Astyanax mexicanus: one gene and its partner. The protein of the gene in region 1 purifies or fractionates together with the protein of each later gene. This does not show direct contact. Links are inferred from orthologs where the notes say so. Each region holds a gene or a part of one and is shown in the gene's direction. Other genes may lie near its edges. The genes, in order: sclt1 and kiz.

What was found.
Region 2: the proteins of sclt1 (region 1) and kiz purify together in Homo sapiens (co-immunoprecipitation; 3 studies listed by BioGRID and IntAct, counting the BioPlex papers as one, with this or other methods). This does not show direct contact. The link is inferred for Astyanax mexicanus from reciprocal best matches to the Homo sapiens genes SCLT1 and KIZ.

Annotation. Positions count from the first base shown.
Region 1 is NC_064432.1:5,074,967-5,091,251, forward strand, and holds the start of sclt1 (sodium channel and clathrin linker 1), read left to right. Parts: upstream 1-9,681; 5' UTR 9,682-9,935; intron 9,936-16,285. UniProt on the Homo sapiens protein: Adapter protein that links SCN10A to clathrin. Regulates SCN10A channel activity, possibly by promoting channel internalization.
Region 2 is NC_064421.1:20,951,479-20,966,905, forward strand, and holds the start of kiz (centrosomal protein kizuna), read left to right. Parts: upstream 1-7,729; 5' UTR 7,730-7,843; coding exon 7,844-7,908; intron 7,909-8,083; exon of another isoform or gene 8,084-8,369; intron 8,370-8,744; coding exon 8,745-8,807; intron 8,808-10,873; coding exon 10,874-11,036; intron 11,037-13,201; coding exon 13,202-13,282; intron 13,283-15,427. UniProt on the Homo sapiens protein: Centrosomal protein required for establishing a robust mitotic centrosome architecture that can endure the forces that converge on the centrosomes during spindle formation. Required for stabilizing the expanded pericentriolar material around the centriole.

The DNA of each region.
Region 1 (16,285 bases):
GATTACCAGCGAGATTCGTTTCAGTGCTCTCTTGCTCTTTTTATTTTGCTCTGAGGAGGACACTAAGAGCTGGATTTACATGGGATTCCACTTTTGAAAGTGAAACTCACTACAGCTCCAACGCAGCTAACCCCACTCCCACACACAGAAAACACACAAAGGGTGAGGCACAAAACAACCACATAACTGATAACTACATGAATAATACTAGAACAGTGATAATAAAACATGACATGAAACTCTGGGATAAACAGTAACATAAACACGCAGAAAAACACCCACTTCCCCCAACAGGGTGAGCTCCCATAATTCCTTCCGCCCCCCCTCCAGTCCCGACGCCACAATACCATAAGCATGCGTTGCTATCTCGCGAGCGCGTTCAGGCACTTTCTCCCTCTCTCATTCTCTCTCTCGCGAGCGCGTTCAGGCACTTTCTCCCTCTCTAATTCTCTCTCTCGCGAGCGCGTTCAGGCACTTTCTCCCTCTCTCCCTCAGTGCTCTGAAGCACTTCTCTACAACTTCTCCCGTGCTCCACAGTGCGCATGCGCACTTCATGTTTGATTCAAATTAAAAATATTACATCCTTATCTCTTTTCTTCGAGTATGATTTCAGTGGAACCAAAACATTTGGTTTATTTCCTTCAGAATTGTAATTAATTTAGTCTGAATCAAAATTGACACATCAAAATTCAAAAAGGTTGAGTTTCACAATAAAGTCAATAATTGTACTATGTGTTCAATCATATTTATTAGCTTGAATGAACAGCTCCATGCTTCACTTTTTACAGTGTGTTTTCATATTCTCCCTAATTTTCTCCTTCTACATTTTCTTCTTCTTCTTCTTCTTCTTCTTCTTCTTCTTCTAATTTCTCTTATCCTCTGTCTTCTCATCCTTTTTTCTTTCTCATTCTTTAAGTTTCTCCTTTTCCTTTTTATGCATTTTCTTTATTGTTTAGCATCTCCTTCTCATTCTCTTTCTCTTTCTTCTTGTTCCTTCCCTCCTGATTGTTCCTTCTTTTTCTTCTTACTCCTTTCTTTCTTTCTTTTTTATTTTATTCTCCTTCTCTTCTCTGTCAGATTCTCATTGCATTTTTCCTTCTGTGTCATTTCCTTCTAATTTTTCTCATTCTGTACATTCATTTATCTGCATCTACTCTTTCTTTTTTTCCTTTTTTCACTTTCTCTCCCCTCCTCTTCTTCATGTCTTTATTTCTTCTTCTTTTTTTACCCTTTTCCCCTCCTACTTTTGAGTCTTAATCATTGTTCCTTTTTCCCCCTTTTATCTCTTTTCAGCTTCTCCTTCTTTTCCTTTTCCAATTCCTCAATTTACAACTCCTTCTTCTACTCAATTTTCTTTTTTCTTCTTCTTTTTCTTTTATCTCTTACATTTTCAGCTTCTTTTCTTTGTTCATCTCAATTTCTCTATTCCCCCTCTTGTGTCTTATTCCTTTTTTGTCTCTCTTTCATCTTCTGTTCCTCTTCATTTTTCTTTTTCCTATTTTTCCTCATGTCTATTTCCACTCTTCTCTTTTTCTTCATGTTTCTCTGTTTTTTCTCTTCTTCTCGTTTTCTTTGATGTCCCTCTTGATTATTTTTAGATATTTCTCCATGTTCTCTTTTTAATTCAGCTCATTTCTTTTTTTTCCCCCTCTTATTTGTTCTGCTTCTCTCTCTCCTTTTTTTTACTCATTTGTGTTCTTTTTCTACTTCTTTTTCTTTTATCTCTTACATTTTCAGCTTCTTTTCTTTGTTAATCTTAATTACTCTATTCCTCCTCTTGTTTCTCATTCCCTTGTTTGTCTCTTATTCATCTTCTGTTCCTCTTCATTTTTCTTTTTCCTTTTTCTTTGATGTCCCTTGATTATTTTTAGATATTTCTCCATGTTTCTCTATGTTTTAAATTCAGCTTATTTCTTTTTTTCCCTCTTATTCTTTCTGCTTTTCTCTCTCTCCTTCTTTTTCTTTCTGTTTCAGAACTTCCTTAATTCTCTTATTCTTCTCCAAATGCCTGTAGAGGCGAGTCTCGCAGTCAGTGGTCTCTCACCAGGAGGTGCACTACCCAAATGTTAAAGGGCAGTAAGGGACGGACCTTTATGGCCTTTTTGGCAGAATCTAATGTTTCGCTATAGCTGTGATTGTTACTACTGAACAGTTATTTTAATTTAACTGTGTTTTTCAACCTGTACACCATCAGATCTGCTGCTTCACACACCCTAAACATCTGAGCGGTGCATGGAGAGCGCCCTGTAGAGTGACGGGTCCCAGCTGTCGGAGCTAGCGCCACAGCGAGAGGGGGATTTGGCTCAGTTTCAGTCTCTTACTGAGGAGAGACAGTATAATTGGTTACACACAGAAACACACAAGAGAACAGATTCTGCTCTGTTTGATCAGCTGGGAGTCAATGAAGTGACGAAGACGTGATCTTAAACACCCTATATCATCAAAAACAACTTTATTTAACATAAAAGGGAGAAAAGTAGCAAAGAAAATGGGTTTAAAACCTGTTTCCTAACCATTCATCCTACAGCAGTTTATAGCTCCACCCATTTATTCATCCTACAGCAGTTTATAGCTCCACCCATTTATTCATCCTACAGCAGTTTATAGCTCCACCCATTTATTCATCCTACATCAGTTTATAGCTCCACCCATTTATTCAGTCTACAGCAGTTTATAGCTCAAACAATTCATCTTACAGCAGTTTATAGCTCCACCCATTTATTTAGCCTACATCAGTTTATAGCTCCACCCATTTATTCATCCTACAGCAGTTTATAGCTCCTCCCATTTATTCATCCTACAGCAGTTTATAGCTCCTCCCATTTATTCATCCTACAGCAGTTTATAGCTCCTCCCATTTATTCATCCTACATCAGTTTATAGCTCCTCCCATTTATTCATCCTACATCAGTTTATAGCTCCACCCATTTATTCAGCCTACAGCAGTTTATAGCTCCTCCCATTTATTCATCCTACATCAGTTTATAGCTCCACCCATTCATTCAGCCTACAGCAGTTTATAACTCCACCCATTTATTCAGCCTACAGCAGTTTATAGCTCAAACAATTAATCTTACAGCAGTTTATAGCTCCACCCATTTATTTAGCCTACAGCAGTTTATAGCTCCACCCATTTATTCAGCCTACATCAGTTTATCGCTCCACCCATTTATTCAGCCTACAGCAATTTATAGCTCCACCCATTTATTCAGCCTACATCAGTTTATCGCTCCACCCATTTATTCAGCCTACAGCAATTTATAGCTCCGCCCATTTATTCAGCCTACATCAGTTTATAGCTCCACCCATTTATTCAGCCTACAGCAGTTTATAGCTCCACCCATTTATCATACCACACTTTAGTGCCACCTGTTGAGCTACAGCATTTTAGCACCACCCATTTATTCAGCCTACAGCAGTTAAACCATTCTAATTCTTTTTTTCTTTCTTTCTTTCTTTCCTTCTTTCTTTCTTTCTTTCTTCTGTGTTTCTCCCAAAACTCTCTCTCTCTCTCTCTCTCCACTAGTTTCTGTCGTTCCTCTGCTGTTATTTTCTTTAATGCTGCTTCCAGTCTCTAAGCAACCTGCTGAGTGGCAGCTCCCGCTCGACCATTTTACACCACAGACACAGCGAGAGAGAGAAAGAGAGAGAGAGAGAGAGAGAGAGAGAAAGAGAGAGTGACTCATTTTACCATTTTACACACACACACACACACACACACACACACACACTGAATAAGTATTCATTTTTCCCAACAGAGAGAAAGAAAAAAAAACGACAGTGTATTATTTTACTGGAGCCCACAGAGAGTAACAGAACACACTTCACACTGTGCTGAGAAACGAGCAAAACACAGAACTCACAGAAAAACACACATCTCTCTCAGCCTCCCACCTTCCACCACACACACACACACACACACACACACACACACCTGTTGCATACAGTGTCAACATGTGTGATCATACTAAGCCCTTATGTGTTCCATATTTTATACATCTATTATACATACTGTAGATATATGGGCCATTTTCACCCAGTCTCTTATTATTTCTTATTATTGCATCATTAAAACACTGACCTTAACTGAGACCTTAAGTCAGACCCGCAGTTCTTTATAAATGTTGTTCTGGGTTCTGGCTTTTGGGACCTCCTGGATGAGTTGTTCATGCCCTTTTGGAGTAATTTCTTTAGGTCGGCCGGTCACTCCTGGGAAGGTTCACCAGTGTTCCATTCCTGTTTGCTCTATTAGCGAATAATTGAATAATAGTGAATCACTGTGGTTCACTGGAGTCCCAAAGCCTTTAGAAACGACTTTATAACCTTTTCCAGACTCTGATAGATGACCAATGACTTTTTGAGATCTTTTATCTGCTTCATGTTGTCAGACAGGTTCTATTTAAGTCATTTCTTGATTCTACAGGTCTGGCAGTAATTTATTTATTTAGAAAATGAGATAACAAATAACAAATAATGCAAAGAAAAACAAGTTCATAAAGTTTTAAGAGTTCAGATCTGGTTTTTAATCACTGTTTTTTTTTTTTCATGCATCTTGGCATCATGTTCTCTCTTCCACCAGTCTTACACACTGCTTTTGGATAACTTTATGCTTTACACTCCTGGTGCAAAAATTCAAGCAGCTCAGTTTGGTTTGATGATCAGCTTGTGGTCATCCATCTTCCTCTTGATTATATTCCAGAGGTTTTCAATTTGCTAAAATCAAAGCACACGCCTCCTCCGACACATGTGAAGTCAGACTCCGCCTCTTTTTTCGAACATTTGGAGGAAAGCGCAGCGACTCGGTTCCGACACATCAGCTCACAGACACCTTGCGCTAATGGACATCACCCTTTGGAGTGATGAGGGGAAAGAGCGCCATCTACTGTACCCACCCAGAGAGAAAGCAGGGCCAATTGTGCCCTCTCTTGGGGCTCTGGCAGCTGATGGCAAGCTGCATGACGGGGATTCGAACCAACGATCTTCTCAAACGGTTTGACGTTGCACTCATTTCATAAGCAGTCGTAGGTTTTGGTTTATAAGCTGACTCTACAGGTGTGATTACTGAAATTGGACTCAGTTTTCCAATAAATGTGGTTAATCTCATTTAATTCGTGTTAAATTAATTGACCCTTCAAACAGGGCCAAAAGTGTTTTTTTTTTTTTATATATTAAAATGTGCTTGTTAATCTGTGAAACGTAAGTATGATTAAAAATACCCAAAGGAAAGAGAGGCAAATACTTTTTCACATCACTGTATATCTTTTAAACCCATATAAAGGGATAAATTTAATACGTATATGTCTAAATCAAAAGTGTTTAATTTTAGATCTATTTTTTTAATTCATTCTCTGAGGTTAAAAGGCTTTTTATCCATCATCAGCGCTGTCAGACAATCATTTTTGCCCTAATTTCATTTCCATAACTTACATATGTATGTGTTTCGTGCCTTCGTTAACCTTGCTGCCTGGCTAGCGTTAATAATGATTGGGTTATTTATGCGGAGACATGCATAAATAGCTCATGCATTATTCATCACCCACTCCCCTGTCATTAAGGGTTGACGATGGTTTAATCAGCTGAACTAATATATAAAACGCATTTGCTTATTAATGGATTAAATTCACTTATTTCGAAGCTAATGTTCAGTTTGTATGTCCTCGGGCTCTATTGTAGCTGTAGCTAAAGCAGGAGTGAGGTAAAACATGACGATAACACTTCAGGGGAGAATCCTCGAAAGGGTTTTGTGCAAACTTTCACCAGTGTGGCCCTTTAAAGTTCACTATATCATCCTTCCAGATCATTAAATTTAGGTGTTTCAATCATTTCCATGGACATTGGTGTAAAAACCAAGGATCTAGACATGCTGCTTCTACAAATAGGAACCTGTACAGCTGTAGTCCAATTGTGAAATTTCCTCACTACTAAATATTCCACAGTCAACTGTCAGTTATATCGTAACTAGGGGCGTCATTGAAATTATGTCATAGTCTCGAACCTCGAAGTCAAAAAAAGAGGATTGATGATCCTTCCCTTTAAGCTACACTAGCATGTGCGCTACGCAAATGGCGCAGCATGCTACGCAAATGGAGCAGCACACTGTAGCTGACGCCGCAGATATTGTGACTGCTCAAAGAGCAGCTCTTTCTCCAGAGAATGTGGACATTCTCAACTTCTTAAAGAAAAACTTTAAAATATAAAAATAACAGTTGTTTTGTCTAGCCTCAAATATGTTAATAGTTTTGGTACCTTAAAGAGAATCTTCCTCTCAGATAAAGTTAATAATATATCTTTATTAAAGAAAAAGTCTTAAAGTCTTATTTTTCATGATTAACTGTTATAGTAGGAAAGAGTTCAGTTTGTTAAGGCTCTAATTGTTCTATTATTTTGTACATGACTGTTCCTGTATTTTTATTTATTTATTATTTATTTTGTTATGTTGCACATCGCTGTTTTAATCGTGCACACTGCTGCTACCAAAAAAAGCCACTAGATGGCATTACATATATATCTTAGTTAAATGATTTAAATTTGACCATTAGTGCCAATGTGGTGTATTACACTGCACTGCGTTGAGCATTTGAAGTATAAAGTTTGGCTGGGGGGGGATCATTATTATAGTGTAGGGTTGTTTTCGAGGAGTTGGGCTCAGCTTCTTTGTTGCAGCGAAAGAAAAATTTAATTCTTTCCTTCATCATCTCAAAGAAAAAATATTTCAGACCCTTTCATGCTCCTAACTTTGCGGAAACACTTTGGGGACGACCCCTTCCTGTTCTATCATGACTGCGCACCAATGCACAAAGCAAGCTCCATAAAGACACGGATGCTATGATCTATGAATTATTTATAACCCTCTATGAATTATGGAGAATCTATTACCAGTTCTACTTTATTTATCGAAGTATGAGTTTATTATTGTTGTTCGTACTCAGTTTGGACTTTGGAGTTTCTTCTTTTCGAGTTTTTCTTCGTGGCAAAACATTCAGAAAGTGCAGGAACACACTTCCAAATCCAAGGCCTTTACAGAAATAAATAGTTAGAGAGAGTTTCTCTCTCTTTCTTTTCTTTCCTTTTCTCTCTCTCTCTCTCTTTTTCTCGCCTTCCCCTCCCCTCTGCTGGGTGGCCGGTGTTAGCCTTTAGCTGTCCACACGGCTCTGATATCTGCTCTAATAACCCTGTTTGTTTGTCCTTCACCGTAATGGTCTCTATAAATCATAACTCTGACTCCCTTAAAGAAGCAGCCCACCAGCAAATTAGTCTCCTTTGGATTTGGCCTTCCTCTCTGTCTCGTTTTTTTTTTTTTTTTTCTCTTCTCCACGTTTTGTTCTTTTTTTTCCCTTTCTTTGGTCTCTTTCTGCAGTAAGCAAAGCATGGAAAACCTTGGAAATCTAAGTTGTTTTAATGACTCGAGCTGCGATTCAGTACATTCTTTTTCGCAGCTCTTCTTTGTTGCGGTTTCCGTTTTTCAGCGGTCGTTTGGGAACTTTCGAGAATTTGAGGCTGAGATCCATCATTTTCCATCTATTGATTTAGACTAATTTCTCCTTCAAGTGCTCAAAAGCTCTCTGAACCCGTCTTCGCAACATCACAGGTGCTTTAGTTGCTCTATTGTGGCTGGAGTGGGAATTCATCTATCTTTTTTTTTTATAATTTTATTTCTAATTTTTCCCATTTTCTCCCCAATTTACAGGGGAAATTACCCACCCCTATCACTAGTGATGCCCCAACACACCAGGAGGGTGAAAAAGACTAACACATGCTTCCTCCGATACATGTGAAGTCGAGCTGCTGCTGATGCAGCATTACCGAGCAGCATCACAGCGCTAACGCTTGGAGGAAAGCGCAGTGGCTTGGTTTCGATACATCAGCTCACAGACGCCTTGTGCTGCAGACATCACCCTAGAAGTGATGTGGGGAGAGAGCGCCATCTACTGTACCCACCCGGAGGGAGCAGGGCCAATCTTGCTCCCTCTGAGCGCCGGCAGCTTGATGGAAAAGCTGCATGAGAGGGGGTTTGAACCTGCGACCTCCCGCTCATAGTGGCAGCGCTTTAGACCGCTGGACCACTCGGCGCCCCATCTATCGCTACATTTTAACCATTAAAGGAGAAATACAGTGTGAAACAGACTTGGTGCGTAGTAGTGAAACATGAATGACGAGCGTGAACTTTTGTCGAATTTTTATCATACTCATAATCCCCCCTCAGCCAAACTTTATACTTAAAACAATGCAGTCTGCACTTTGTGGAGCTGATGAAACTGAAAAAACATAAAAATGTGAGAAAAAAAAAAACATAGGTCTGTGCGGACACTGTTTGTGGTAAGAAGCATATATCGGATGGGTAGCACAAATGGACAGAACACCGGTAGCACCTGGCCATTACAGGATCTCCTTATCTACAACAGTGGACTCTGAACACAAAAAAAATCAATAAATTCAATTCATAATCAAAAATAAACTGCTCGAAAAAGAAATTAACTTATATCCCTTATGGGGTTTTGCTTGTTTGTTCCTCTATAGGTCCTCGACGGTTCTGGCAACATTATCCTGTCTAAAGTGCAGAAAAAGATGAGGAATAATAAAAACCCATGAAGGGATTGATATATTAGATACTAAATTTAATAACCAACATATTAAATATTGAATCCAAAAGACGTGTTATTTAAACACTACTACATATATTTTCAACGTTTAGGGGGCATTTGATTTGGGCTTTGCCACATAAATATTTTATTAACAACAAAATAAAAGATGTTATTTTTAAGATAGTGTACACAAATGTTACCCAGTTAATGCTAGAGTAAGTCCATTTGTTTCCATCTCTGAAAATTGCAGCATCTGTAAAAACTATAGTGAGATTTGACTGTTTATTTTTTTATTGTGTTTTTACCTACTCTTTTTGGGTAGATATATTTTGGAATTTAGGGAAGAAAATTGGTAAAGACATTCCCCTTGAAAGTCACTATATTCTTTATACTTTTAATAACCCTCTATTTCATTGCAATGAAACATTTATTATCAACCTTATTATAATATTAGCAAAATATTACATACATAAAGCTAAAAACTAAAAAGATTTTTTTTTTAATATATTTGCAAACAATTAAGTCAATGGGCCCCTCATTGAATAAAAAAATGGGTAGATCCTTAAATGTTTTAAAGCATTACAATTTAATTTAAATAATACTGAATATTAAATAAATAATAAGAAAAGATAATTTGAGAAATTCTGGTGGCTGTTCGTTATTTTTACAATCTTTTCAAAGGATGAGATGACTATGGGATGTTTTCTTTTTTTAGATTATTTTGGCAATTCCTCTGGCTTTTCTTTTTTTTCTTTTTTCTTTCTTCCTTTCTTTATTTACTTATCTTTGACATCGCTAATATGTTGCTGTTACTTCTTGTTTACTCTTTTAATCTATCTCTTTACCTATTTGTATAACTAATGAAAAATATAAAATTAAAAATAAATAAAAACTCATCCATTTTCGTAGAGGGGCTCCAAACCGGAAATAGGTTTACCCATCGCCTCTCCCGGAACTTGGCCCCTCCTCCTTGCGTGAAAACGTTTTAAATGACAGTAAAATTGACCAATAATATCTTCCCACTAAGTGGGCGGGCTTTAAACTGTATCATAATTTCCCAGCTGCGGTGGCCAGGCTAGTTAGTTAGCTAGCTTTAGCTAATTTGTTGAGTCATGATGGAAGCGGATGCCAGCACTACCGCTGTACAGGAGGACAGCTCTGCAAATTTGTTATCCAAGCCGTTTTCTAGATTAACTTTTAACAAGAAGTTGACAGACGTTTGGCCTTAATTTCCATGGAGAAAGAACTGTTAATGGGTTTAAAAGCAAAGGACCAGTTGCATGACGCTGCTAACAACCATTTTTTCCAAAAGGACATGAGAATGGACTTCATTTTCAACTAATTTTCTGATGGGTGAGTTATTAAAGTTTTTTTAGGCCGCCGTGCCAGCTGGGTTGATTGTGTCTGAGCTGCTAATTCTATTTGTGTAATGTGAAGGTGAATTTAAGAGTTTAAACGTTTCTTAGATGTGAATTAGATGCGAATTTAGACATTTCCCCTCAGCCACAACAAGCTATTAGCTGACACCACAATTAGTAAATAAAACAAGACAATTCCAAACAGGAAGAAACAACATTAAACAAACAACCAAAACTAATAAAAATAAAGGACATTCCTGCACAAAATAAACTCAAAACTCAAACTGACTTTTTTTTTTAGAATAAAAAAACTCAAAAGAAAAAAAAAAGAAACTAAACTGAACCCAAAATACTAAGAAAAATGTAATCTAACGAATGTCTAAAGACAAATAGAAAAACAACAACAACAAAAAAATATATTACAAAAAAAATGCAAATATCCCAAAGTAAATAAACTGTTTTTTGGGGAGGAAACCAAACAAAGAAAGCACTGCTGCTGTAAATGTTAAACGTTAGCTGCCACAGTTAACAAATAAAACAAGACAAATGATCCCAACAGAAAGAAATAATTTTTAACCAGAATGGCCTAAATAAAAAAGAAACGAATCATGTACAGAGTAAACTCATAAAAACGGATTAAAATTATAAGAACGGATCAGCAGCTGAACTTACTTTAGATTTTTACCAGTGTCATATTTGGATTACTTTTCCACCTCGGGCTCATTATGACAGTTTATGGGGCGGGTCGAATCTCGGGCAGAAAGTTCAAGGGCTCAGGTCGGGTTGGTCGGCCTGGATTTTATGAGAATTATAAAATGAACTTAAAACTAAACATATTATTTGAAAGGCAGAATTATAGAATAGACTTAAAACTAAAAATATTATTTGAAAGGGAGAAATATAAAAAAGGCCTAAAACGAAATATATTTAAACAGGAGAATTATAAAATAGACTTAAAACCTAAATATGTTATTTGAAAGGCAGAATTATAAAATTAACTTTGAACTAAAAATGTTATTCGAAAGGGAGAATGATAAAATATACCAAAAAACAAAATATATTTGAAAAGGAGAATTATAAAATAGACTTAAAACTAAACTAACTATTTTAATTGAAAAGGAGAATTATAAAATTAACTAATTAATGTTATTTGAAAGGGGGAATTATAAAGCATACCTAAAACGAAATCTATGTGAAAGGGAGAATTATAAAATAGACTTAAAACTAAAAACATTATTTAAAAAGGAGAATTATAAAAAAGGCTTAGAACTAAAAAAAATATTTAAAAGGGGGAATTATGAAAGGCTTAAAACGAAATATATTTGAAAGGGAGAATTATAAAATAGACTTAAAAATAAAAATATTATTTGAAACAGAATATTAAATTTGACTTAAAACTAAAAATATTATTTGAAAGAGACAATTATAAAAGACTTAAAACTAAATATATTATTTGAAAGGGACAATTATAAAAGACTTAAAACTAAATATATTATTTGAAAGGCAGAATTATAAAATTGACTTAAAAATAAAAATATTATTTGAAACAGAGAATATTAAATTTGACTTAAAACTAAAAATATTATTTGAAAGAGAGAATTATAAAAGACTTAAAACTAAAAATATTATTTGAAAGGGACAATTATAAAAGACTTAAAACTAAATATATTATTTGAAAGGCAGAATTATAAAATTGACCTAAAACTAAAAAATATTTAAAAGGGAGAATTACAAAAAAGTGTTAAAACGAAATATGTTTGACAGAGAGAATGATAAAATAAACTTAAAACTAAAAAAATATATATTTTAAAAGGAGAATTATAAATTTGACTTAAAACTAAATATATTATTTGAAAGAGAGAATTTTAAAATATACTTTAAACTGAATATATTATTTGAAGGAGAATTTTAGAATATACTTAAAACGGAATATATTATTATTTAAAAGAGAGAATTATAAAGTGCACTTAGAACTTATAAAATATTATTATAGATGGAAAATGCAGGCGCGGCTTCATTTAGCGTCAAGATTCCCACATCTAGCTGTCTGTCGTTGCTTCTGTAGAAGCTAGAATGATGCGCTAAACGTTATCCCACCAAAACAGAACGAGTTAAGTCATAAAATAAATGAATGTAGGCATCAAAAGAGAAAGCTGAAGTATTTAAGTATTAAAACCGCTATGCATTATTATTATTATTATTATTATTATTATTATTATTATTATTTAATATCTACACTGAAAATAACTGTGTGTGTGGGAGTAATAAATCATGTCCATGGCTCCGCTCATTCACGTTAACGGAGTATTTTACCCTACACTGCTTTTTAACGAGTACCATACAGAACAGCCAATCAGAACAGAGGTCACGCGTACTGTACACATACTGCAATCCAGCCTTAAAGTCTAATGAAGAAAATAAATGGCTGTGTAAAAATACATTTTAAAGGGAATAAAAAGAACGCAGTGAAATACTGGGAAGTGTGGAATGTGGCCTCATTAGTTCATCTCTGGCCACACTGTGCTCCTACTTTATTACAGCAGATTCTTTATATAAAGCTTTAATGAAGCTTATTCCTGTTCGAGACGCCCTGTTCTCTTTAGCGCAGCATCGCTTTATCTCACTGAATTACAGCTGTTTATATTCCTGGATATGGAAATGCACCAAATGATTTGTTTTATATTTTTGTTTGACGGAATCCAGAATAGAACAAAATTAAACCTTTTGAATGAAAGTCAAATACAGAATACCGAAAACATTGTTTCACAGGTTTTTACTCATTTGACCATTTTTTCACCTCTGAATAAATAAAGTACTCTAAATGTTTTCAAAGAAAAAAGCTATTACAAGACCAGAATCCAAAAATATTTATAACCTTTTTATTATTCCAGCACACAAACCAGCAGCAACACATTTACCTCAGTAGTTCTATTTTAATCCTACATTTCCCCTCTATAGTGCTGTTCTAATAACAAACGAATCTCATGAGTGCTATTCTAATCATACATTTACCTAAACAGTGCTGTTCATATCATAAAGTTACCTCAGGAGTGCTATTCTCATCATAGATGTCCCTCAGTAGTGCTATTCTAATGACACATTTTACACTTAGCTCAGTAGTGCTATTACTTTCATACATTTATCTCAGTACTGCTATTCTAATCATAGATTTCCCTTAATTGTGGTACTCATGTGGGTGTTAGCCAGTCTTTTAGTCCTTTGTGTTGGTTTGGCTTGTTGTGTGTTGTGGAATTTGATGTGTTGAGTTGGCTTGTTGAGTTGTGTCAGGTTGAGTTGGTTTCTTGAGTTGAGTTGGTTTCTTTTGTGTTGTGGTAACTGATGTGTTGAATAGGTGCGTTTGTTGGTGCTTTGGGTTGAGTGTCAGCTTGTGTGTTGGACTGGTTTATTGAGTTGATATAATGAGCTTGTGTGTTGAGTTGACATATTGGATTGTTGCATTGGACTGGCAAGTTGAGTTTCAACATTGCATCACTAAATGCTATTTTTTGCCAAATTACTTTGCCAAATATTGAGTGGCATCTCTAATTATTCTAGTAGTAATAAAAAGCAATTTTAATTCACTATCACTTTCTCCATAGTGTTTCCCAAAATTCTCTCAGGGATGTGCTTTATCTAGCATGAAGGTATTTATTGTCTCTTTATCTGCCGTATGTCTGCTATGTCTGAGATCATGTTGGCACCAGTTTGTTTGACCGAGAAGACATCTGGCACATTAAAGGCAGGCATGTGCAGCGAGGAGTTGGGACTGAAGGACACAGATGTCCAAGAAAACACTCTTTCTTTACACATTTGGAGGTGTGAATTTCACAGGCCTCTCAGAGCATCCTGCCACATATCACATGTTGTATATTTCACATGTACACCAATTTTTTTCTGGCAACCCAACACAACTGATGAGGTCACAGCTAACATGTGCAGGTCCCCTAGTGCTCATAGTGCTCATTTAACCAGTGGACTGTATAATTATTTGTTTGGCATGTGTGATTTCTGTCCAGTGCATTGGGTTGGCAAGTTGGGTTGGGGTATGTGTTTTGATTGGTGCGTTGGGTTGGTTGACTCTTTCAAATGTTGTACTGGGTGGGTACTTTAGACCAGAGCATTGGTTTGACTTGCCATCAGGGTAACGGTTTGGTCAAGGTGTTGGATTGGTGCACTGACTTATTCAAATAGATTCTTGGGTTGGCATATTGGATATGTGTGTTGGGTTGGCGCGTTGAGTTGGTGCCTTGGGTTGGAGTATGTTTTTTAATGGTGTGATAGGTTGGTAGATTGGGTTGGTGCAATGGGTTGGAGTGTTTTTTAATGGTGTGATGGGTTGGTAGATTGGGTTGGCGCATTCGTGTTGGAGTATGTGTTTAAATAGTGTGAGGGGTGGGAAGATTGGGTTGACTGATTCAAATGGGGTGCTGGGTTGGTAAAATGGATCAGAGCATTGGTTGGGTTGACTTGAGTTGGCATCAGGGTGATGACTGGGTTGGTGCATTGGGTGCATTGTGTTAGGTCAGCATGTTATATATTGGACTGGCCTGTTGGATAAATTCATGGAGTTGTCATGTTGGATTGACACACTGGGATGGCACATTGGATTGGCATGTTGGGTCAAAGTGTTTGGTTGGCCCACTGAGTTGTTGTGTTGAATTAGCAGATTAGTTCATCGCATTGTTTTGATGCATTGGGTTGGATCGGTTCATTGAATTGATTTGGTTACTATATTAAATCGTTCCATTGAGTTGTCACGTTTCTGGATCTCAGAATGCTGTGGGAGAACGGAGGTGTGCTATTCATCAAATATAAGTACTTTTATCAGGTTTTAATACAACAAAAGTCAGTTTTTTGCACCAGAGTGCTGCAACGTGCAAATCCAGCTTTTGCATCAACAATACAACAGAATAAAGAATATAAAATAACATTGCTTTTCCCCTAAATGAGCTGATGGCACTGTATATTCTGCTGAGGCACCCAAAAGCAACGCGCTGTTAAGATACAAACGTGCCAAAGTCAGAGCTCACCATTTCGAGCTGCGCAAGGTGTAATTTATTTATTTATTTATTTATTTTTGGACCCTCATGATAAATAAAAGCTGCGCAATTGACCTGTATGCTATAGATAGGTAAAATAGAGTGATTGAGTCAGAGCGTTGGGTTGGCGAGTTGGGTTTTGGCACCTCTGGACTGGATTGGATTGGCTTGGCTCTGGTGTGTTGACTCCAGGTGTTGACCACCATTAGTAAAAGTGAAAAAAAAAAGTGAAGCTAAATGTGAAAAGGGTCAGATTTGAGTGGAACAGCACGCAGGGGGGTAATGATAGGCTGTCTGCCCGTTCGACAGACGAGAGCGAGCCTGCTGGAGAAATATCACGGCCTGAATAAACAAGGGATGAAAATCGCGCTCCCTCAGAGAGGGCGAGAGCGAGAGACTGGGGCGAGAGAGGAATGGGGGAGGGAGGGAGGGAGGGATGAATGGGGATATAGGAATAGAAAAGAGGAAGACATGGTGGGGAAATCCTGTCTGGTGTCAGGGGGCTGCCATACAGCTGCTCTGCATGCTTCATCAACAGCTATTCAACCTCTCTCCAGTGCCGAGAGAGGAAAAAAAAAGAGAGAGCGAGGGGAAGCGAGGGATGGATAGGGAGAGGGAGAGAGAAAATATTTAGCTGGTGTTTTTGTAGCACTTAAAGAACCCTGTGATATTACAAAAAAAAAAAGCAGCCCAGAAATATCAGAACATACAGCGTGTTTCTCTGAGCCGACTGTTTTGTTTGGCGGCGCCGTTCGGGCCCAGCGGAGAAATCGGCACATGGAGGATTAGAGGAAGCTGGAGAAGAGAGCATGAATGAAAAGGAAGAGAGGAAGAAAGAGAGAGAGAGAGAGAGAGAGAGAGAGAGAGAGAGAGAGAGTGTATGTGTGTGTACGAGTGTGCGTTTGAAGCGTGTATGTTCCGAGGCGGTGTGTTCGAGAGTGGGCGGGGCTGGATGTATTGTGTTAGTCTCGTGTTTAATTATTCATCCGCTCAATCTCTTTGTTCTCCTCCCGAAACTTGCCTTTGAGCTACTTTGGCTTCTTCAGCAGGGAGAGGGTGAGAGCCAGGCAGAGCGCGAGAGAGTGCGAGAGAGAGAGTCATGTTCTCGCTCTTGTTCGGGATGCAGCAAGCGTCAGTGTGTGAATGCTTCATGAACCCAAAGCAGCCCGACACCTTGTGGGGTAAATATCGGCCAAAGTCCATGCAATGACATGCAATCCCTCTCGCTTTTGCTCTCGCGCTCTCTCTCACGCTTCTCGCATAAACACACTTCCCGTCTGACGAAAACACTCAGCTGTTTGACCGC
Region 2 (15,427 bases), on another chromosome or scaffold:
CACTAGTGCATGTTGTCCAGAGGCATTTCAAAATATCTCTCATAATTAGAGCCAACATCACCAACCTACAGAGGTCTTTGTTTCTGAATTAGTTTCATACCACATCAATTCAGCATGCGAGAGAGGTCATCTATTGCACAAGTCAACTCTAAATTCTTCTACTGGAGAGCGACAATTACTGTCACTGGCAGGGGTGACACAACGTCTTGACATTTGTTTGGGAGACAGGCTGTGTCCAATTCCCCCTTAATCTTGGGCTTTGAAGAAAAGCTTTCAGAGGACTGCTTCTCATCAAGCCCCACTCCATTTTACTTTATTAACGTTTCTAACACAAATTTAAAAAAGGGAGGGTTTTGCACCTTTTTATCCACTTGACAGCACTTCACTAATTGCTTCTCCCTCTCTCCCTCTCTGACTCTCCCTCACTCTCTTTTTTCTCTATTTATCTCTGTCTCTCATATGCACACATAACCACAGACAGGCACATAAAAGAATACAATGAGCACAAAAACGCACACAAGCATTTTTTCCTGCATATACATTATTGATCATTATGTAAAGAAATTCATATAACAAAGCGCTGTGAACACAGGAAACATCCACAAAACATTCAGTGCAGGTAATTTATCTTCTTTAGAAAGCATCTTAAAGATTATACACATATTTAACTGTGGCTCTTCTACCCAATTAACATTGCCAAGGCTTGCTATTATTAAAATAACAGCTCTCTTCAAAATTTTATAATGGCATATTTTAGATGTTTATGTATTAAGAATTCAGATCATTACTTGCAAATTGAACGTTCAACCTTTTTGATATACTTGTGTCAAAATGATACCTCAATGATGCCATCCATAAGTGTCCATTTGCTGGAACAATGATAAAAGCTTGGTCAAATTCACTTTCCTGATGGCATACTCCTATTATAAAACAAGTGACCATTGAATTAACACAGAGAACTTGAAAGCTTTTATACTCTGATGTAGAATACATTCAGACTAAAAATTAATTCACCCCATTTGTAATTGCTCTGGGACTCTCCTGAGCCTCATGCAGACAATTTACTCAGATACAGGGGAGGAAAAAAAGGAACGATCTTATTGTGGGCTTACAAAAAAAAAGCGCATGTCCTTACATCCACTATTTACCAATGAAGCCATTTTTCCACTGCAAAGAAGCAGACATCGAGTGAACAATGGGAAAATCTATAGCACAGCCCATATTGTGCTCATTCACAATAGAACACAATGTGCCTTTCCTATTTCATACAAAGAAATCCAGGTTAAATTCACTCCTGGACATGCCTTTCAAGTTGCTCCAAATTGTGCGAAAAGTGATCAGGAGTGACAGCTAGGAGAATCAACGTCAGGACAGAAAAATGGGAACTGAAGGTAGATAAAACCAAGCGAGGCATTCAACTGAGCCAAAGGGTTCCTGACTCTACACAGGAGAGAAAACAGAGCCTTCAGCAGGGACAATTCACAGTCTATTTGTATAAGCTGTTTATCAAATTATTGAACAGACAGATGTTTCTGACTGCTCCTGGTTCTCCCAGGCACAGAAACAAAGGTCTGAAGGAATCATTTGTGATGTGCCTGGAATATCAATTCAGTTTACTGCTGTTAATTCACATGCAAATTTTGACCTCTGTTAAGGCATATCAATTACCCTACATACAGTATCTGAGGGACGACACGCACCAGGAAACGAGGGGAAATGACAAAATATGGACAAATTGTAGTGATTCAAATACATGAAAATGGAGTATATTTTTCCATGCATGTGAAACTCTGAATTCAATGCATTTATAATTTGTGATTGAACAAAATGAAAAAAAAATAATAATAAATTAGGTGTATAGCAGCAGCAGTGGTTTTATATATCCTTCTTTAATAATAGAAAGAAATCCAATCTATTATTATTATTCTGATAATAGGATTCATAACAATAATAACAACAATAATAACAACTAACAAGTAAACAATCATTATTCTTAAATGTACATTGTAACTTAAAATTAATCGTATAGGGTCATGTTGTAAAGCTCTGCATCAACTTAACATAAACTATTAACTTACCAATTATTAATTATTTAAAAAAAGTCACCAAACCAGAAAGGAGGTCTGCCTATAATACCTATAATAATGATGGTAAAAAAAATATTGCTGATGATGGTTAAAGGTAAAAATAATTAGAAAATTGCATTTCCTGAAAACATACAAGGGTAGCAAAGCAGAATAATAAAAAACAACAAAATGGCTGTTGATCAGAGCTTGGGGACCTGCACTGATTGAGTACATGCAGTTTAATGGCTGTTGGACAAAGTGGAGATTGGTAGAAATAAAATGAATGGAAATGAATGAGGGGTAACAAGGGATGAAAAGAAAAGAAAAAGTAAACTAGTGTAGGTAAATACAACAGTAAATTTGTTCTTTGGGGCATTCCCCAAAATAGTACAACAGTAGAGCAATAATCTCAAAACTGATTAAAAAAGCTATATAAAAGCACACCTCACAAAATCAGACTTAAAAATGTACAAATGTACAATGGATTTGGTACATTGTCTATAACTGAAAAACTATAAGATGAGTTATTATATGTCTCTTTTGTAAAAAATCTGGTACAAAAGAAAAAGAAGGCAGGTAGCCGTGCACTTATTTTCGGAATTATAATAACTGCCATAAAATAATAGCAAATCCATTTCTCAACTCATAATGTCTGCCATTATAAAACAAACCTGAGGACTGCTTTACGGCAATGTCAACATTTCTACATTTCTCTGTTAATGCCAGCCTTTCTCAACTCAAGTATTTTGTTTTAATGCTTCATCCTTATGATGAGCAATATCTGAACTGCTCCTGTGTTAAAAGTGATTTGTGGTTATTAGTGAGTGACACATTTGTGAAGGACTGATTACTTTGGATCTCAGTGGAAGCTGTGTTGGCTCTCACGGGCAGAACAGTGTTTCAAATCTTACTGTTATCACCTCCAAAATAGTGCCTTTCAGCCTTCCACTGCAAACAAAGAGCCGTGCAACAATATCAATTATACATGCAGGAAGCAAACAAGAGGATTTATTAGCCAACAAACAGCCTCACAGAGTGACCCTGAATGGAAGATATTAGCATGTGAAAAGCACAGCAAAACTCCCTGCTTCACCAGCTAAAGAGCAATTTGATGGGGCTGGAATTGGGGAAATTGCTTGGTTAGAGCGTACACCGGGAGGGGATCGGAATAGATCACCTCAGCTATAAGACAGAATACACAAAACATCGGGGCCATCAGCTGTCAAAATACAACAAGATTCAGAGAAAACACTGTCCAATAATCCCATAGAAGCAACTAGTTAACCAGACCCCCAAATTTATATAAAGGCAAGGTATGGATCTTCTGCAACATCTATTTGCTGTATAATCTGTGCATATATCAAAACTTTATTTAAGTGGGTCATCTTGTTCAACTAAATATTTAAAAGCCTCATAAATGGTGTTTTCAGCAAAAACTTTGCATTTTATTATTTGGAAAGTAGTGCTAAAGGTGTAAATACAATATCACTGTAAAAAATATCTTAACAATCTGATATAATGCATTAGTTCTATACCAGATTTTCTTAGAATTGTATGTCTAAAAAAAGAAGCATTAAGCAACATTTTGAGTACATCACTATACAATTTGTAATACTTCTTTAACACACAAGATAATTTATCATATCCTGAAAGTAAGGAGTATTAATTTCCCTCTGTTGTGTAAGTGCTTTATCTTCCTCTTCATCACGCCATGTTAAAAGTAATTTCTGCACTGCTGCTCTTACTAAATCATGTTTTATTTAACATTGTTATTCAGGTACTTTATATTTTTCTGTTAACTTAAATAGCTGCGTACTGAGAATAGGTTGAGAGAATAGATTAAACTAACATCAGTCTGTTACTACAGGACAAATATTTTCCCTGCACTACACGGGTAGTTTCCTACCAGGTTTCCTTACACCACAAGTCCATTTCACAACAGCTTTCTGTTTCAAGTACTTAAAACTGCTGTAATTATGCAGGTTCCATATTTTAGATAATTCAAGAAAAACCTTAGATGACAGTCAGCTTTACACCAAATGTGGGAACATATTGGAAGATTCTGTTAAACTGGACAACATGGTCCATCACTTTCTTTAAAACGCTCCTCTTTTCATTACTACTCGAGTAAATGGCAACAGTAACCCGGGAATGGTGATTTCAGTGTAGTGTAGTAACACAGGCTGGCTGGGAAATGGAAGAAGCTGCAACCATATATTATTAGTTGCTAGAATAGGAGAGCAATTTACAGTAAGTGGGTTCAAATTCTATCTATCTCATCTTGGTGAAACTGTGAAAATCCGGAAGATTACTACCTAAACCGAATCACAATTGGCAGCCAATAGTGTCACCTCTGTATCCCTGTCAATGCCCCTCACTCACCTCTATCGACTTGAGAGACACTTACCTTCATGCACTGAGCATCGAACTCATGGTTACTTGCCTGTGTTCTGATAGAAAAGCCAAACGAGCGCCTGGAACATTCCGTTTTTCCTTTGCACTGTAGATATGTGAGACAGAAATCAGTGGTCATTCTGTTTGATGAGGGTCAGTAGTCTCTTCAGCAAGTTATTTTTCTCTGCCATGACTTCAAGAAAATCGGGATGTTTACCTGCTGGCTGGACCTGGGGTCACGAAGGAGAGTGTGTGGATGGGCTCTCAGAGTGGCTTACAGGGCAGATGATTGGAAAAGGATATGATGAAATGGAACTCCTGAAGTAGAGCTCTATACATCAGGCAAGCTGAGGCATCAGTTTCTGTACAGCTCCAATACCTATGGAGTTACAAAAGAAGAGCACCCACTGTTAACACAGCTGGTGGAAAATAATTAATTTTTTTTTCACAGACCGTTCTATGCTTTTTTATAAATAATAACTGAATAGCATATTTGAGCACGCTCTTCACATTCGATTCATTTATTTGATTCACTTTAACAATTCAACAATGCACCATGATCTACAGGGATTTTCTACAGTCATTAGTACAAACAATGAACTTTTAGACATGAAATACAGAAAATCAGTTGCACCGACTGGTTTGAAGATTTGTGTACAGCTTGTGGATTGTTTATGTGATGCACTCTTCATTTACACATAAGGAGTACACAAAACATGGCAAAAATCTTCACTACTTTGTCAAATCCACAATGCCAGATGGCCACCAGAGCAGCTAAGCAGCTAAGTATCAACCCCTTGCATGTTTGAGAGACTTTGAATACCAGTAATGTTCCTGGTGACACCATGCCCCGTGGTTATATAAAAAAAAAGGTTGTGCACACTTTACTTTACCTTGAGACCATTTCTCAACAAAGGTCTGCCTGAGTGAGGATAGAATTTAGCAGTGATAATGCATCATATATCTGCAGGTACATGCGTAGCTAGCTAGCATTCTATTTCATGCCTCTTGACAGACAGAGTGGTTAGGAAGTAGTGGATGAAGAGTACCAACAAAGTCATGAAGGCAGTCATGTAGTAGAGCCTCCAACACATCTTTAAGAAGGTTGTCCAACACCCCTTGACAAACTCAGGGCTCTATAGACTCAAGCAGGGACCAAAAGAAACAAAGTTTATCCATCTCTGTGAGGGCAAAGGATCTGTGTTGGCCAAGCGAGCTGTAGCAGTTTCTTGCTCAGCTATGTGAAGAGATATGTTAACAAGAGGTCGAGTGATGACCAGAGGGCATGGAGAAACATGACTTTGGTATTCAAAAGCTTGTGTGTTCAAAAGTGTTTGGAATGGTACACTCATGAACTCATTCAATATTATTCTTACTTACTTACTCTTACACTTACATTGTACCTTTCTGCCACTTAAAATTGCATTCCACACACACTCAACACACACCAGTGAGGAGCGGCAGCCAATCGCACATAGTATACTCTCAACCGGAGCGACCATCCACCTGAAGGACTGCATCTGGCACTGAAGAGTTCACCCAGCACAGAGTGCCAATCCATATCTGGGCATACAGTCACACACATTCACATACATTTACACACCAATTTTCTGGGCAATTTAGAGTATTTCATTTACCTGATATTTCTGTTTTTGGGCTCCGGAATCCCAGAGGAAACCCACGCAGACAGGGGGAGAACATGGAAACTCCATCCAGTTAGGGACCTGAATCCAGTACCCCAGTGCTGGTAAGCGAAGGTGCTAAACACTAAGCCACCGAATATTCACTATATAGCATTTGCTATATAGCTAACTCTCTAGGGACAGAGGGACAAAAAAAATTAATTTGTACTTTTCTAAGGATGTCTGACACACCACCGCATTGAATTATATTATATATTGGAAATCATCTGTACACTGCATTTTGCGATGCACTGTGGATGTTTTATAGTGAACTATTTAGAGATTTTTTTTTCTTTTGGTACTTGTCAGTTTTTTTTGTATGTGTATCACACCCTGTGCTTAATTATAACACATACAATGTATTTAAGTGTATTTGGAAAACCAAATAAAAATACTTCTGAGCCAAACAGGGAATAAAATAAGACTATATTTCGAACTGCACTACAAAATGGCTGACATAAAATAAGGTGCACTATTACTGTAATATGGAGCGACTCCATATTACTCTCAGCTAAAGTCTCATACATGCTACACATGCTGTTAAAATCTGGCTGAAAGCTAAATGTACATTTATTCAGAACAGTCACCCAAATGTAATCTCAAGGCATTGTAAACAAAATCTCAAAAGCGGGATACTGTTTGTATTTTTACAGATCAAACTGTGTGTGTGGACGAAGGCAGAAAAGTACTCTTCATAGGGAGAACGTTACGTTAGCTAGTTCTTTATTGTTGTAAATAAATAACCGTTAATTAAATTCGGGAAACGGGCGTTGGCTGAAACTGTGTAGACTGTGTTCACGTGAACTGCGCAGTGCAGTGCGCGCGCTCACAGTTAGGCAATGCCTGCGTGCGCACACTATTTACATGTTTATTTTGTTTATTTAAAACATGTTCACGTGTGATAATACCTAAACGTGTCTTTTTATTTGTTTTTTATCTGGAAAAAAACAATCTCATGCCTTAACATCAAAATGGGGAAAAAAATAAAGTTATGCACTTTTAACCCTCACTTTTATAACCCTCATTATATTATACGTATTGAAAAGAAAAATATAATTTTTGAAAGCTTTGGAGTCTGTGTGAGTACATAAAATATAACTTTTTGGTTTGCCCTTTTATAACAAAGTGATCAATTAGAACAGATGCACATATTAGATTCTTGCACATATACACGGTAACTTTTATTTATGACGCTCTTGTATGTGTCATTGTAAAGTTCGTAGATATGCCCTTTAACATTATATAAAAATACAACACAAATAAATAAACAAAAAAAAACATTTTAAAAGATAGGTAAGATATGAAGTAGTAAACAAATCGGCAATGAGGTCAATACTATGCTAAAGAGGGTTTTTGTCTCTTTACACGAGACAAACTGTGTGAGGGGTTTGTTTCTACCCAAAAGTCTACTTACCCAATGTTTGTACGTTTGTATAGTAACAGCTAAAAGTGCACAAAAGCAAAATAACACATTTTAAATCCTTATATAAAAACAAACTGAGCGTTTTTCCTCATCCTAGCCTGAAGAAATCTCGTGCACGTGAACTGGCAGTGCAGTGCGCGCGCTCGCTTGCTCGTGGCCACAGCGTGTCTACTTGTTTACAACCCAGGCCATCTGGGAAGTGGTGCGCATGGCAACGAGCGTAAACACGGTCCTGGCGCTGTGCGAGACACAGACGGGGGACCAGCTAATAATATTCAATGGCTTTTTGCAGTGCCGAGTACTTCGACACAGTGGGATCTATTCAAAAGGGCATACATGAAAGGTAGGACGCGATATTTATACTATATCCTCAAGCAAAGCCTTGATATAGAGGGGGCGCTAGGGCCTGGTATGAAGCCGCGGGTTTGAGTCCAGAGCTGCGCCGCTATAGACCGCACTGCCCGCGCATGTCTGCTCTTCTGTGGTGCTTATACTCTTTAGCCTAACAAGCGTTAGCAAGAAGCTAATGCTAATGCTATTGCAGCTTTCACTGAGAAGCGCCTCTGTGGAAACGACGTTGAACAAAGTGCTGCTAGTGCCGGTTACTTCAAGTTGGCTACGTTATGCATTAGGTCTTTTTAACGTCATGTTTACTGTTGTAATTATATGTATTAATATTACCCAGATACTTAAGCTAGCAAGCACGCTACGTTAGCTAGTTAACGTCCTGCCTGGTTTATTTTAGTCACATCCCATTCACCGGGCGGCTGGAGTTGGGGCTAGCGCAATAAGCAAAGCGGGACGGTAAGTTAAGTGAGTAAAGTTATCTAGGTAACCTAGTTAGTTAACTAGTTAGCTTTTTTTGTTTATTTCTTTGGACACGTTTTTAAATGAATATAGCTAGCTAACTGAGCTAACTAAGTTAACTGTTATATAATACGACATCTGCTGTTAAAACCCCACCGCTATATTTTAACAGCTAGAGCAGCATTGTGAGTTATGATTCGTGGTTAATATAGGTTCGTGAATTTGATTAGTTAGCTAACTAATTGAATCGTTTTCGGAGACCAGCGTTGCACTGCGTCCGGTTAGAGATTTTTTTCATGCAAACCCGTGATATGAAATTGGTCTGTGTAAGATATTTGAGTTATTTTTAAACATAAAGTCTTTCCATTTCAGGGAAAAAAGGAGGCATGAGTTGGAGGAACAATTGTTTACCTATACACGATCAGAAGATAGACTGTAAGTATCCTACTTCACTTATGTGTGTTGTTTCGTGTGTGTTTAGGTTGTGCAGGGTTAAATTTGTTTTATGTTTTAACGTTATCTTCTTACTAAGTTCCTGTATAGCTGTTTTATTAACAAGAGTTAACTATATATGTTGAATACACTGCCTGTCCAAAATAAAAGGTCCCAACCTGTATTTAACAAAGCAACTAGGTATAAGCACCCCATTGGTAATTTATGTTTTAGCTGGCAACAAGTTATTGTGTTTAACTCTATCTGATCTAGGGAGTAATAAGCACACATCCATAAACAAGGAGACATCCTGTGGCTATCAAAATCAGAAATGTTAATCTGTTTCAGAAGAGTCAAATTATTGACATGCACCAAACAGAGAAAAATCTCGTTAGATTGCTGAAACTACTAAAATCAGGTTAAAAATTGTAATGACAGTGGGGAAACATCATCTTTGAAGAAATAATGTGGTCAGGAGAAAATATTAAATGATTGTGTTTGGCCATCACCTTTTGGTGAAAACAAATAATAGAAAAACAACACTAGAATCTAAATTTATGTTTAATAGTAAAGGTAAAAGCATTTCCACTCCCACAATGTGAAGGGAACTCAAGGGATTGGGATTACACAGCGGAGTAGCCTTAAGACTTACCATTGATGGGAACAGTAAAAATGGCTTCAGTAGGGTAGGAGACAAAAAGATTGTACTTTTGCCCAAAGAATGAGGTTAGCTGACTACCTGAGTACACTGAATGACTAGGTTATTTCATCAATGGATTTTTTCTACCCTGATGGGACAGGAATATTCCACTATGACAATGCCAGGATTCGTCAGGCTCAAACTGCAAAAGTTAGTTTCAGGGAGCATGAGATATAATTTTCATACATGGACTCTGGAGTCCAGACCTGAACTCCATTGAGAATCTTTGGGGTGTGCTGAAAAAGACTTTGCACAGTGGTCCACATATATCCTTATCAGTGGATAATATTGGGGAAAATGAATTAGACACAGAAATAAATGTTGTGACATTGCAGAGGCTTGTGGAAACGATGCCACAGTGAATTAGCTTGTTTTTGGCCAGGCAGTGTGTATTATTTAAACTATATCATTATGTACTGTATGATCCTACATACCAAGCAAACAATCTTATCTATATAGGGTTATTAATATGACATTACTTTCAATGCAGTTTAATTTAGGCTAATCTCTGTAGAAAACTGAAAACTGTTCTTTCTTAACAATAGCTGTTCTCTTAAATGAACTGTTCCCTATCTTTTGCCCTGATCCACTTTTCATAAGGTACATTGTTTGAATGGGACTTCACCTCGAAACTTTTGTTTTAGGACAATTAGATGACTCTCTAAAATATAGCCTCTTCTCTCTCACGGGTGATATGATGGCACTTAACTCAAGTGCCGGAGACCTATTTGTTTTTATATGGCCCCGCCAAATTCATGGATGCAAACAAACATTTTATGAGGATGTTAGGGCAGGAAAAATGTAAAAGGTTAGTGGATCAGCCTTTATGATTCAGATTCAGAGTTTACCTGCAATTTTCCTTGTTGGCCTTTTTTTTTTAAATCGCAAAACATTTTCGCTCTGGAGTGCCAATTAACAAATGCACCAAGCACCATTATCAGATATTTTTGTCTGTCTCTAACTTGACCACAATTTTAGCTTCAGTATTGCTTATACAAGGTTTGACACTGACCATCTGTGATTGAACATCCTTGCTTAAGTGTATATGTTCATATATAATACCTGAATATACACATCATCACTGTCCAATGAAAGAAATGTATCTCCAAAACAACAACTTTACAGGAGAGAGATGAAACCTTCTCAACTTTCAGTGGAAGTCAGTGTAAGAAGAATGTATTTCAAGTAATTTTGGAGAATGTCTATTGTTTTTGTATTAAGACACAAATTTGACACATTAGGTTGTAAACTAAAAATGGACAAAAATGTAGATACTTTTTTTTTTCTTTAGATGATAACATACAGGGTGTACGCTATATCCAACTCTAAGTAATGGGATTCTTTAATGTCTTTATGTTTGTTTTTACAGAGCCAAATTGAAATGTGCCAAGATGCGCTACTATCACAAGGAACTGTGTAAGAGGGAGCAGCAAGCAAAGGCTCGCAACCTTGAGCTCCTGAGAAATGTCGAGAGCCTGGTATCAAATGCAAAAGAATTTTCCATTGACTACACTTTACTGCATCACTTGAAGGTAAAAGCCTTGGATTGCTATTTCTGTTTTGTGCTGACATGCTGGCCTCCAGAAGATGATGTTTGAATTATTTTCTTAAGCAGGCTTTCAAACAGTGCTTTCAGCAGCATCATCTTTCTCACCCCCTTATTTATTATAATGCCTTGTGCTGTGTATGTATGTGTGTGTGTGTGTGTGTGTGTGTTTATGTGTGTGTGTTTGTGGTCCTAATGAGACCGTAACTGATTTAGCCTAATGTGTCACAGCAACTAATTGCTCTGAAAGCAAGAAATTTGCGATTTTCTCACACACTGTAAGCTTCAATTAGCCTGCTGCCTATAATCCCATATCATTGTCTAATTCTCATCTGCTGTTTGAGCGTTTACTCTCATTTTTGTTTAGTAACAATTGTAAACACTCTAACAGTGCCATTTATCACTGCAAGGAAATGAGAAAAAGAAAACAATGGCTGTGGTCGATTATCACTTAAAACTGAACAGTGCTCAACAGCTTAATATCAAATTTGCCAATTTGTTTAATTACACTACCCCAAATTAATTGCCCACTATTGAGACACTGAAGTACCTCTGGCTTTCTCCCTCCCTGAAAGGAGACAGTCTGTGACTCTCTTTCTCTCTGTCTCTCTTCATTTTTATTGTTTGGACTCATTATCATTTTATTATATTTGTTTATTCTCTAATTAATGAATGTATTGTATATTTAAACACTGTTTAATGTTATTAATATGGGTGTAGAAATTGCTAGTTGCTAACAAGTAAGCTAAGAATATCACCAACGTAAAATGAAGTAACAAAAGCTAAATTGCAAAGATTCAGTCTATTGCAAAGATAGGAGACCGCTAATATAACTGACATATACACAACCAGACAGCCTCTGACACTTTCCCGTTCTCTCTGTTTCTGCAGTTCCAATATTTGTCAGTGTAATTATAATAGTATGTACACTACGGTTGTAATTATGTGTTTGGAAACCATTGCAAATAGATAACGGATTTGTGCTTAGCAAGCAAACTGTTCCGTTTGGTGGAGCTTCTATTGTCTTAGGGGAATGAAGTGGGTGGCTGGAGGTAATCCCAGTGCCCTCACTGCTGCCATTAGACTGTTTAATTGAAGTTTGGATTAGTCCAGTCAGTCTGGCTAACCACAAAATTGATTAAGAGCCCTGGCAGGCAGTGTTAAGGGCACTCAGAGGGGAATACCCACAGTGAGGGACACTACATTTTCAGGGATAAACATAAGCCTCTCTTTCCCCTCCTCTTTTCCTCAAGTTCACTGTTTACACTTCCTCCCTCCCTCTGTTTGGTTTTAAGAATTCTCTGTAGTTAAAAAGGAACATCCTGCACATTCAAAGCATTGTAGTATGGTAATCCAAAGCCTGGAATGTTATTTCAGAGTTCTGTAAAAGCAGTTGCCATTGCATTGCTTTTGTAGGTGATTTTGAATAAGACTTGGGCTATGTTCACACAGCAGGTAAAGAGACATAAATCTGATTTTGTCATCTGAACACTTCACACACCTTAACTGATCTGCATGCAAAATAGATCAGTTCTTCACATTCACCTTCACCAGCCTTACAGCAGCTATCACGGAGTTCCACTGGCTGACAGCTGAGCTTATCAAAGAGAATGTGTACAAGCTTGCTGTAAAAAACAGCAGCAGTTTCCTTGGTTTGCATCCATGGTTTCTTTAAACTTTGTTCAAACTTGCAGCAGTTGTGATGTGTACCTTTTTAAATTAGTTTGAACAGAAACCTCACCTTTAACATTTAAGGAGGTCTGTTACCTCATCATCTCACCCTCACTGCTAACATCCATTTCTATTTCTCCTTATTATTAATTAGATTTTTAAATAAAGGTGGCGTGAATTCCGATCTGGCTGTTCAGACTGATTCACACTGTCACGTGTTGGATATATATCAAATTTCAATACCACGTATGAAGTGGCCCAAATCAGAATTTAAAATATCCTTTTTAATGTGGTTTTGCTGTTCACGCTCTCACACAGGCAACACGTATGTGTCACTTATGACAAAGATATTTGACTTGGACCACTTTTATCAGCTGTGTGAATGTAATCTTTGCAAGAGTTTTTTCTTATTAATGAGTTGAAAAAGTTGAGGATTTTTTGGGTAATAGAAGATTTGATAGATTTTTTTTTTCTTTTCAGATGGATTGTAGAAATCACATTACCAGACTCGTGGAGGAGCAGAGGAAGACGGCGAGCAAGCAGGAACTCGAAGCACACAAAGTACGACAGATTTATCATGTCATCTTTTGGGATTACAATTTGGTGGAAATTTACAAAGCTATCTCTCCGCCTTTGATGAAACCATGATCTTATGATGGGATCCAATATAAAGTGTACCGTTTCACTTTTCAAAGAAGAGAAATGACAGTTAGAGAGAGAAATAGACTCGCAAATCCATTATTCTGCGCAATTCCTCCTCTTCTTTTTCTTCTTCAGTAGACACTTTTTACAGTTTATATGGGGTATCAGTGTTCAAAGACTACAATTAATTTATAATCAAAAGCAATTTGGGAAGTGCTTGAGGTAATTACTGTTTTGCTCACAACTTCAAATGGCTCTTTTGCTTTAATAAAGGACCATCCAAGTCTTTAAACCAAATTATGGTATAGGGGTTTTTATGAAGCTCTTGAAAAGAGGAAAAAAAAAAAAGAGTGATCTTCTCTGGAACTTTTTCTAGTTTCGCATGTCATTTAACCCTGACCACCGTACACTGTTGTTATTTGCCTGGTATTATCAGCAGAGATATGTGTACATTTTAATCTGTAGTCCTAGAAAAAAGGGAAAAACAGGAGAGGAGGTTTGTTTAGTCGGTTGTTTGTTTTTCTTGACTAGCAAAAAATATTGACATGACTTTTTAAGGCTACATCCATATAGAAATATTTTTCTCCCTCTTTTTGAAATTGTGTCTGTCTACACAGAGATGTTAAAAGCTTACATGAACATGCTAACCTGGTATGGGTATAGTACCTTATAAAAAGAGAGACATCAAAACATCATGCAAGAAAAAAGAAAACATAATAGTGTGTTATCCCATTGCCCACTTTTTAAAATGTATAATAACATATATGGCATTTTAGCCGACTTACATGGTTATTTCTATTACAGAGGTGGACCAATGTAGTGTTAGGAGTCTTGCCCAGGGACTCTTATTGATGTATCACAGTATAGCCACCCAGACCAGGAATTTAACCCCAGCCTCTCACATGATGAGGTAGCTCACAAGCAGTTGGTGGTGTTATCCACTGCACCACACCAACCACAAAGTATAATACAAAATGTGTGTAAATCTATAATGCAATCTAGTGCTATCTGTGCCTCAATGTTGTAGTTTTGATGACATGTATTTCAGAATATTGGGTGTTTGAATGGATTTGAGATTTAGGCAGAAAAAATGCATGCACTGTGATGACAGCATTTTAAAAAGCTTCATATTTACTGACCAAAAATAGTCAGAACTTTTCCTGAAGATGGGAGGCCATAATTTTTTATGTTTTTTTTTTAATATTTAAAAAATATCCAGTAAAATAAAACTATACTTCTGTTTGCATTCTTGGACAACAGAAGTAAATTTTATGAAGCTCTATTAAAATGTAAATGTAAAATGTAAACTTGTGTCCGCTATCTGTCATACCAAGACCATTGTGCTATTTAGTTTTTTTACAGTCTATTTTTTAATACCACTATTTCTATAAACAGCGGTTATTGATGTGGTGTGTGGTGTCCATAACAAATGAAACAATTCTTTGGTGTTTTTTGATGAAAAACAGAAGTAGCCATTATTTAGACAGCTCAGCGTTGGTGGGGTGGGGCCGGGGGGACTGTCCATTTTTCGTTGCCATATCTGTGATGGCGCAGGTGTCTAATCCGGCCCGCTATGACCGTGCCACCGATGTAGTTCAAGCCTGTGGCTGCTTCTTTCCCTCACTTCAAGCGGTTTGAGCGCTTTCAGATGAAATGTGGAAGACAGCTCATAATGACTTGGAGCATGCTGTCTTGAGCAGTCACTTGTGACTGTGTGTCCCCCCCCCCCATTCAAACACACACACGCACACACACACACACACACACACACACACACACACAAACCCTTCTGTCTCTCTCCTTCCCTCCCTCCAGCCTGGCGATATTGTAATGAGCAGAGATGGGAGGAATCACTCCATTATGCATACGCGCCACTGCTGGCTGCGTGCATGTCCCCGAGGCTGCAGCATTCATTAAGGGGAGCTTACCGGCCTGAAAGCTGGGAAGCCATGATAACGGGATATGATTTTCATATTTAATACATTCCTTGGAAGAGCAGGCGCGTGCCGCAGATTGATAGAAGAATCAATTGCTACTTTAGCGAAACACTTTCTACTTTGCCCC